Tribolium castaneum: one gene and its partner. The protein of the gene in region 2 purifies or fractionates together with the protein of the main gene of each other region. This does not show direct contact. Links are inferred from orthologs where the notes say so. Each region holds a gene or a part of one and is shown on either strand. Other genes may lie near its edges. The genes, in order: calnexin and gamma-glutamyl hydrolase.

Region 1 (4,395 bases), on a different chromosome or scaffold from region 2:
CTAGCAGAGGATCCAGGCTTGCAGCAAAGGTATAATACAAAAACAACAGGGATGCCTAGTACGATAATGTATACTCCCCAAAGCCAAGGGTAATCATTGGTCAAGGTAGCTAATTTTTGAATTACGCTTTCCTATGTCAAAACAAAGAAAACTATAACTAGCAGTACGAAAATACCTCTTGAATGCAGAAGTAGAGGTACCATATGTAACAACAAACCGGTATGGCGCAATAAACGAAATATAAGAACCACGGTACAGGTTTATAGTTTAACTTTTTCATAAGACGACCCCACAGTGTCCTCTTATTTAGTAAAAAATCACAAATATAATAAAATTCATTTAAATTAAACAGATACTAACCGAATCCTTGGCGATCTTTTGCTTCTTTTTTTCAAAAGTGGCGTCTGCCCAATGGTTCGCAACGGTAATATCGTCGGTAATAATAATATTGTCGAAGAAAATGTCCTTTGACATTGACCATAACTCAAATCCAACAGCGGTCTGAAAAAAGTTATTTGTCCAAAGATAAATTAATCTTGAATGAATTGCAAAAATACAATTCTTTATTTAGGTTTACAAAACATTTTTATCACAATACGAACGCAAATTCGCCAAAATAAGCATAAAAACGATTGGGTGTGGCTAAGTATATATTACTTCCTTAGTTAGCATATCTCACATAGCAACTAAATCCTTTTGTAGTGACACAAACAATTCTTTTTTGCAACATGTTTTGTTGAAGGCAACAATGCAATAATCAAATACGCAGTTTCGGTAAAAATATGGAAATTAAACAACTACAATTCTGCCAAAAACCAAAGATAATAAAAAAAAATCGCAAAAATAAATGTGTCAATTTCAAGTTGGCTCAATTTTATCAAGAGGCAATTCTTTTACCATTTTCTCACTGTCCTAGGCACTCTAAAAAAATTGCTAACAAAATTAGAAGCTCAGAATTTGTTATTTTTGTACAAAGCATATCGAAATATACTTTTCACAAATTCTGGAAACTGGAGAGGAAACTAGAGCTGACAGCCAAATTTTGACTGCAGATTTGTAAACTATGTTCTAATAGTGTACAAAATCAACTGATAAATTTGAACAAGAAGAAAAAATAATGTAAACATATCGGCACCAATAATTACAGTTACATAAACAAGATAATTTTTTAACCATTTACTTACAACAGTCTGCATTTTAAAGGGATGCTTATCTTCGAAGAACTCGGGATTGGGGATCCTCCTGGGCCTCCACTTCCCCTTATAATTAGGATTATCGATAAGCGGCGCCCTCCACTTCCCCTTATAATCGGGATTATTGATAAGTGGGGGCTCCCAAGGCCCACACCCGACAGCATCCTTACAAGCGGGATTATCAATAAGCGGTGGTTCCCACTCCCCGTCCATTTCCGAATCCCAATCTTCTGGTTTCTTTGCATCAGGATCGAAAACATGCGACGGTTCATTATCCAGCCAACCTTCCGGTTTCACCGCTGATTCATCAACAATCTGAGCCGGCGCATCCTCATCCCAATCGTCAGGTTTCACGGCATCTGGGTCAGGGATTTTCTCCCTTTCATCCCAATCCTCAGGTTTCTTGTCATTAGGATCGTCAATTTCTTTCGGAGGATTCACTGCCGGGGTGAAATCCTCAAGCAAACTTCCCGAATTGACCACTTTGTTGTCGATTAGGATCTCGAAGGTGTTGTCAGGGTGCAGGACAAGGGTGAACAAGTGGGGGAGTTTGTCGGAGAAGACTTCCTCAATGCGGTCTTTGGGTTTTTTGCAATGCTTTTCCTCGACGCTCCCGTTGAGAGGGTTGCGGTGCTTGAAGATAAAGTGGAGCTTGTGGTCGTTACCGCACTTGTCGGGGCCGAACATGATCGAGTAGGGGGTTTTATCGTGGAAGTTGTTCAAGTTTTTACTGGCGGAGTCCTGGGTGAGCAGCTTCAAGTAGGCTCCGCCACATTCTTGGCCGTCTTGGAATATTACTTCATATTGCACGATTAATGGTTTAGTATCAAAAATAAACGGTTTTAGGAGAGAGGAGGCAATAGCAGCGTGTTTAGCCTTTGATTTAAGCACTAAACCTTTGTCGCCCACTAGACTGTCTTTTTGGGTTGGTTCAAGTTGCCATTCACCGTCGTATTTTGCGATGTCTTCGGAAATCCCTTCTTTCTTCGCTTGGGATTTTATCCAACGTTTCGCAAACTGGTCTGGATCGTCGAAATGCTCGGCGAAATAGACCTTTTTCGGGTCAAGGGGGCTCGGACTTTCGTAGGGGATATCAATGTGTGATTCTTCCGGTTCTACTTCCACAGTAGCCTCGTCAGAATCGTCCACTTCGTCACATTTTACCGCCGAAAATATCAACAATAACGTGATTACTGCCGGAACGAGACTTCTAAGCATTTTGTGATCATATATTGTCCTGCAAACCAAACCGGGCACTAATTATGTGTCGTGATTACAGGATGACGAAACGGAAGCAGTATTTACTAATATAAGTCAGGGACTAATCCAATTTAAAAAATTAACCTGAAAGGTTAGTGAACGCACTTCCCAATCGATTAGTTACGAAATTACGCCAAATATCGACAAAAACGCACTCTCTTACCCAACTATCGACACGCTATTACTACAAAATGCACAAAAAAGCCGACTTCACGATGAAATAATTAAAATTCTAGAGACCGACAAAATAAAATGACATACCTAACCTCAAAATCCGGAAGTAGTTTTACACAGCACTCTTACAACACTAGCTTCAGCACCACAGTCTTAACTCAAATTGGTGTTTACTTAGGCTGTATTTCATTTATTATCAGATTATTTTTATTGTAGTTCTTGAACACCACGTAATACACCGCATTTATGAAGAGAATAAACACAAATTCGCCGACCAATCAGCGTCAAACAGATGGCAAAGTTGCGCTCAGTTCAAAAATAGGCGGGGAAAAAAAGTACAAACAGTTAAAAAATGAAAACTTTATTCACCAGTGGTACAGAAACGATCACAGTCGTACAAACCAAATAAAAAATGAGCAACAGGTGTTGGTCTTTGATTTAAAATACTGAGCTTGTTTTGGCCCTGATATAATTACAAATCTTTGGCTTTTAATTTCCTCAAAGCTGTCTCCATTCCCAACTTGCCCGCAATCACAGCATGACGTTCGATTTTATTCCAGATAGTTGCCATCATCAAAGTGTAAAACATAAAAAGGGTGATTAAAATTTTCAAAATGTGGTAAATAAAATTCAGATTGTAGCCGAAAGGTAGGTCAGTTGCAAGTGTCGTAACCAGCAACACGATTAAAACGAACGTAAAAAACCAGTACAAATATTTATGGTTATTCAAGCCCCTGAGTGCGTCATCACAGATTTCTATGCTCTCTTCAAGGACAGTTTTCTTCATGTGTTGGTCGCTTTTCAGCGACCTTATCTCGCTCTTTGTGACGATTAAAGTCGCAGCGATTGCTTCATGGTCCGAGTAACTGTACGCACATCCGGGGATTTTGTGTGGTAACGGCAATGTGTAGCTTTTTAAATCGATTTGTAAACTTGAGCCTGGATGATACATGATATAGTCGATTCTTTTGCCAGGAATGTTTTTCTTGAGTAAGGCCACGGGTGTGTAACTATTAGTGAGGCTTTCATTTGTCGCCACACAATTCTGCACCGTTTCTCCAGCTTCACCAAACGCATCTACAAGTCCCGGAACACTCAACATTATCCTGTAGGCTAAATCTCCAGGTTCGGTATTTAAGTCCCCGGCCAGGACTACTAGGTCGGCGTCTCCAGACGTCATTTGGATAAATTGAGCGGTATCGAAAGATTGGAGCACTCTGTGAGCTTGGTATTCATCACAATTTCGGTCGTATTCTGCGTGCAACTAAAATTATTACTCTTTGTGTTGTTCATCAAGCAAAATAAATCTTACATGTGCAGAGTAGACGTTGACGGTGTAATTGTTCACCTTTAATTTACATAAACCCACGCCCTTTCCACCAAACCAGTCACCATGGTGGATTTTATGAATGTAACCATTTACTGGCCATTGGTGGAAAAAAACGTCCTCCATCGGGTGTCGCGATAAAATACAAACGCCAGAGCCCGTGACTCCGCTACAACTCACCTTTACGCTTGTTTCAACTGAATTTTTGAATTTACCTGTAAAAATAGTGAGAGTATGGTAACACCCCTGAGACTTTGTTTCTGATTAACTGGTAGTCAGAGTCAAGCCATATCTCTTGGAGGCAAACTACATCGTACTGGCTAGTCGCCAACTTCTCAGCTATTGCCTGCATTCGGTGTCTTCGGTTCTTGGAGACCACCGCAAGGCCCCTAAGAATTTTGTGCAATTTTGTAACATAAATCACATGACAGCTTACCAGCA
Region 2 (4,404 bases):
TTGGCGCAATTCGCTTGTCTACCATTTTGCGCCAGAGCAACAAAGCGTGGCGAAAGCCCGCTTCCCTGTCCTGGATGCAAGCTTGCAGCAGGAAGTTCATCGTATCTCCGGTGATTTTGACTTTTTTCGCGGCCATTTCGTCAACTAATTTGAACGCAGCTGGGAGGTCACCACAGCGCCCGAACGCTTTGATCATGGCGTGATAATTTGTGTCGTTCGGTTCGTACATTTTCTCTATCATTATGTTTTGCAGCTTTCGGGCTCTGGTTAGGCCGTCTTCTGGCCAGGGGCTGTTGGCACAGGCGTTGAACAACGCTGTGTACGTGCCAGCTGTGATTTTCAAGCCGCGTTTTTTCATCTGGTTGTAGACAGAAAACGCCTTTTTCGTGTACCCCACACGGCCGCAAGCGCCGATTAATAAATTGTAGATGTAATTTTCTGGCTTGACTTTGTCTTCCTTGATCATTTTCACCTCAACCACGTCGATTGCTTCCTTGATTTTGTGTTGCTTGATCAGTGCTTTTATCATGTCGGCGTACTGTTTTGTGCTTTGCCGTTTCAAGGGGATTGTTTTTTCGGACCAGTCCTTTTCCTCTTCCAGGTCTTTTTCGTAAATTTCCTCCCTTTCTTCGGGGTCGCCAAAGGTGTCAGGGTCATTTTTGAGACGTACTAAAAACTCCTGCTCGGTTTTTTCTTGTGGAATATTTGCAGCATGTGAGAATAATCGTGTGTTGGAGGTTAGAACTTCGGTTTGGGCATTTTCCCGAAATTTACAGTTTAGCAGGTGTGGGTATTGCTTAATATTTAGCAATGTATTTGCTTTTTGTGGCTTGCCACTTTTTACGGCTTGTTGTGCCAGAAATTTTAATAATTTTAAACGATACATTTAATTTTTTGCTTCCATAACCTCAAAACACAATTGCTGACAATTGACAGGTTCCAGCTGTGCCAACACATGAGGCAAAAAATTCAAAATATTTTTTTCAATAATAATTAAATTGTCGTTTTGGAGATAAGGTAGTCTTAAAGATAAGATTATAATTAGTCTTCTTAAAGACATTAATATTTTTTGTATAAAAATTATCTGGTTTAACAATAAAATGTAGTTTTTTTCATATTATTACAGGAAAAGACTGATACTTGCCTTATTTTCTCTATTTTTAATAGTTTTGCTTCATAAGAATTTTACCGGGAGTGAGTATAGTAATTAATGCGTTTCAAGGTTGGCGCACATGCGACGTCGGGCGTCGCGACGTTGGTCGTCGATTTTAGCAATGACGTAGCAATATTAACGTTAAAATCACCTTCACGACCTCAAAGAAACTGCGGTATTAGAGTTAATTCAAGAATTTAATCACAAACGAGAGACATATTACATAATTTATTTGGGTAACATAAATTTATTAATTTTAATTTATTAATGTCTTTTCTGACTTTAAAGGTAATATGTCAAGAGTAATTTTCTTAAAATTCTGGCGTCAGAATATTTATTGTTTGCTGCAAATTTGAGCTATCATAAATATGACTGGTAAGAACCTAACATTTATACACGTAATTTAGTTTTTTCATCAGTAAAACAAGTTGGAGACTGTTACATAACAGTCAGTGCGTTTCTTAATTCTAATTTTGATTCACATTTTGTTCTTGTATTTTTAATAAAAGAGGCGTTTGGCAACAGCTTAATTTTCGGCAGTTTTTTTTTCTGCTCCTTCTGCAGCTGCAAAAGACGTTATTTAACAAACTGACTTTACTTAATTTATTTAAAAGCAGTTTGTTGTGACTAGGATTGTGACCAATATTGTTTTATTTGTAACGAGAATTCACATTCCTTAAACTAGGCACAAGCGAAAGAACGATATTTTACATAAATACAAAGATAAATGACAGTTTGTTCAGATGATATGGACTATTATATATTTAAATATTTTAATAAAAGAAATGTGTCATGTTTGGGGAAACGCTCTTTGAATTTTCCTCCAACGGTAGGTGAATTGGATTGACCTTTGACCCTTGCTTTGACCGTTTTTGCACAAAATGGCAATAGAATTACATTACATAACGTCAGAACCAGAATAGACCAATTGATTTTAAGCTGAACTTGTAGTGCAATTATTATAGCACTTAGCACCTACATTCCGAAATAATTACCTAAAAAATGCAGTAATGAATGAATTAATTTTTTGCGAATCCAAAAAAGCATGAATTAATCTCTGCAGGAAAATATTCATTCCCCGACTGCAGAATGAATTGAAGTGTGAGATTTATACAGTGGGAGAAATTGGCTATAAAAAAGTTAATAAAATAATGCTCGGGGTGAAAAGTTTATTTAGAGTGGACGATGATCCTAATTAATTTTTGTTCGAAGGTTAGTGACTAGTGTTCGAGTAACATTTGAATAAATATTTGCCTAAGAATTTGTCTTTTAATTTTTTGAATTCTCACAACTGTTATGTTTATTTCTGCTCGTCTGCTCGTCAGCCTTGAAATACTAATATTTCCTTTAATTGATGTTTTATGTTTACCAACCGTGCCTACGAATGGTGTTTAGAGTCATGTTTTAATCTGCAATGTCATAATTTTTGTAAACGTAATCAGCAATTTGCCCAAAATCATAACATAATGTTCGAAGGTGCGTAAATGCAACGTATTACTTTGATTTTTCGAAGGGTAAGTATATTTTTTAATTATTCAACTCCATTTATTTATATTTCAAGTATTCAGAACTGGGTCAAAACGCATTATGTACTCACTTTATTTTATTTAAAAGGCTTTGTTTGTGGAGCAATCAAATGCAAACATTTTTTAATTGGGTCAAAGATGTGTAGGTACTTTTTTCGAGGAAAGCGAATTAATTTAATTCTAAAAAGCATTTTGTTTATCTTTGTGATGCGTAGTCGTATTTTTACGTTTTTATTTGTACATAAATATTTGAAATTTTCGGAATTACTGCAAACTCTTACTCCGTATTTTGTTACAAAATTGTTTACACGTTCTATTGACCAGCTGAAATAATAAAAAAAAGGTATAATTTTTATTAAGCTGCACGTCTTGCAAATAACTCGTGTCCAACATTTGTGATCTCTATTTTTGTTTGTTACAGAACGGATTATTTAAAGTATTCCCTCCACTGTACAAATTAAAATAAACTATTTTACCAATTTGTTTTTTATTTCCGCTATTCACTGACAACAATAGTTTATCTTTCTCCGTGCCGCTGTTGTAAAAACAAATCGCTGATAAGTAAAATTTTGAACAAGCTATTGATTTACAAAATGTTTCCACACTCGTTTTGTTTGTGGAGAGATAAATACTCGTACTGTTCCTCTTTTAGATAAGCTGTCTCAGCTGTTTTGTAAACGCGATATGTTAGTAGACGATAGACTTTCACCATGTTCCAATATCTATTAATTCTCTCTCTCACGAGTTACATAAATGCTGCAGAGACTCCCATCATTGGGATTTTATCCCAAGAAGCTTATTTAGTTAAGGATGCTTATCCAGACGCCGACAGCTTCATCGTAGCTTCTTACATAAAAATCCTCGAAAGTAGCGGTGCTCGAGTTTTGCCCATTTGGTAAACAGTCCCATATTTCTAATACTTTGAATTGCCAAATCTATTTTCCAGGATCGGCCAAGATGCGGCTTATTACGAACGGGTGGTGAATTATACCAACGGGTGAGTTTGTGCTAAATAATCAGTAATCACCATAACTCCATAATTAACCAGCATTCTATTTCCCGGCGGAGGGACCTACTTTAATGAGACGGGAGGTTATGGCGAGGCAGCAAAACAGCTTTATGAATTAGCCGTCAAAACTAACGAGAAGGGAGTTCATTACCCTCTGTGGGGCATATGTTTGGGTATGCAGGTGCTGATGTATGGGGCGGTGGGCAGGGACATCCGAGGCAATTGCCAATCGAAGGACGTAGCTTTGCATCTGGAGTTTGTCGCAGGTTAATTTTTTTTAATTGTGTTGAAATTTTGATCATTTTTGTCCTGGTTTATTGTCCCGGTTAACTCGGAGGGATTTGTTCTTGCTGTCCTAATTAAAGGACATACACGAGACTTCGTGAGGTGAAACAAAAGATAAACATGTCGTGGTGTTTGACCTTTGCCTGTAATTAGTTATTACGTTCTTCCGACTTGGACTAGAAAGCAAATTATTGCCACCTACCTGCAATATTACACTGCATTATTTACCCTCTTCGTTGCTACTAAATTTTAGCAACTTCCTTATTTCCCGTGCTTTTACGAGTGTGTTTGAGAACAACACAAGTTTTTATTTGGGGGTTTAATTGGCGTACGCATTTAATTACATTTATTTATAATTACACAATTAATTACATAACAAATTCAAGCCTATAGTAGCTGTGTTATTACGTTGCATGCGTTTTATTAAATAA

What was found.
Region 1: the proteins of gamma-glutamyl hydrolase (region 2) and calnexin purify together in Homo sapiens (affinity purification with mass spectrometry; 3 studies listed by BioGRID and IntAct, with this or other methods). This does not show direct contact. The link is inferred for Tribolium castaneum from reciprocal best matches to the Homo sapiens genes GGH and CANX.

What each region holds. Positions count from the first base shown.
Region 1 is NC_087402.1:5,189,967-5,194,361, forward strand, and holds the start of calnexin, read right to left. Parts: upstream 2,916-4,395; 5' UTR 2,720-2,915; exon of another isoform or gene 2,715-2,719; intron 2,712-2,714; exon of another isoform or gene 2,617-2,711; intron 2,431-2,616; 5' UTR 2,412-2,430; coding exon 1,185-2,411; intron 502-1,184; coding exon 361-501; intron 132-360; coding exon 1-131. Other genes in the region: nSMase (putative neutral sphingomyelinase), read right to left, coding at 3,100-3,891, 3,940-4,123, 4,170-4,343, 4,391-4,395. UniProt on the Homo sapiens protein: Calcium-binding protein that interacts with newly synthesized monoglucosylated glycoproteins in the endoplasmic reticulum. It may act in assisting protein assembly and/or in the retention within the ER of unassembled protein subunits.
Region 2 is NC_087394.1:32,517,115-32,521,518, reverse strand, and holds the start of gamma-glutamyl hydrolase, read left to right. Parts: upstream 1-1,563; 5' UTR 1,564-2,514; coding exon 2,515-2,629; exon of another isoform or gene 2,630-2,667; intron 2,668-3,121; exon of another isoform or gene 3,122-3,389; coding exon of another isoform or gene 3,390-3,441; coding exon 3,442-3,574; intron 3,575-3,625; coding exon 3,626-3,676; intron 3,677-3,727; coding exon 3,728-3,954; intron 3,955-4,404. Other genes in the region: pentatricopeptide repeat-containing protein 1, mitochondrial, read right to left, coding at 1-886. UniProt on the Homo sapiens protein: Hydrolyzes the polyglutamate sidechains of pteroylpolyglutamates. Progressively removes gamma-glutamyl residues from pteroylpoly-gamma-glutamate to yield pteroyl-alpha-glutamate (folic acid) and free glutamate.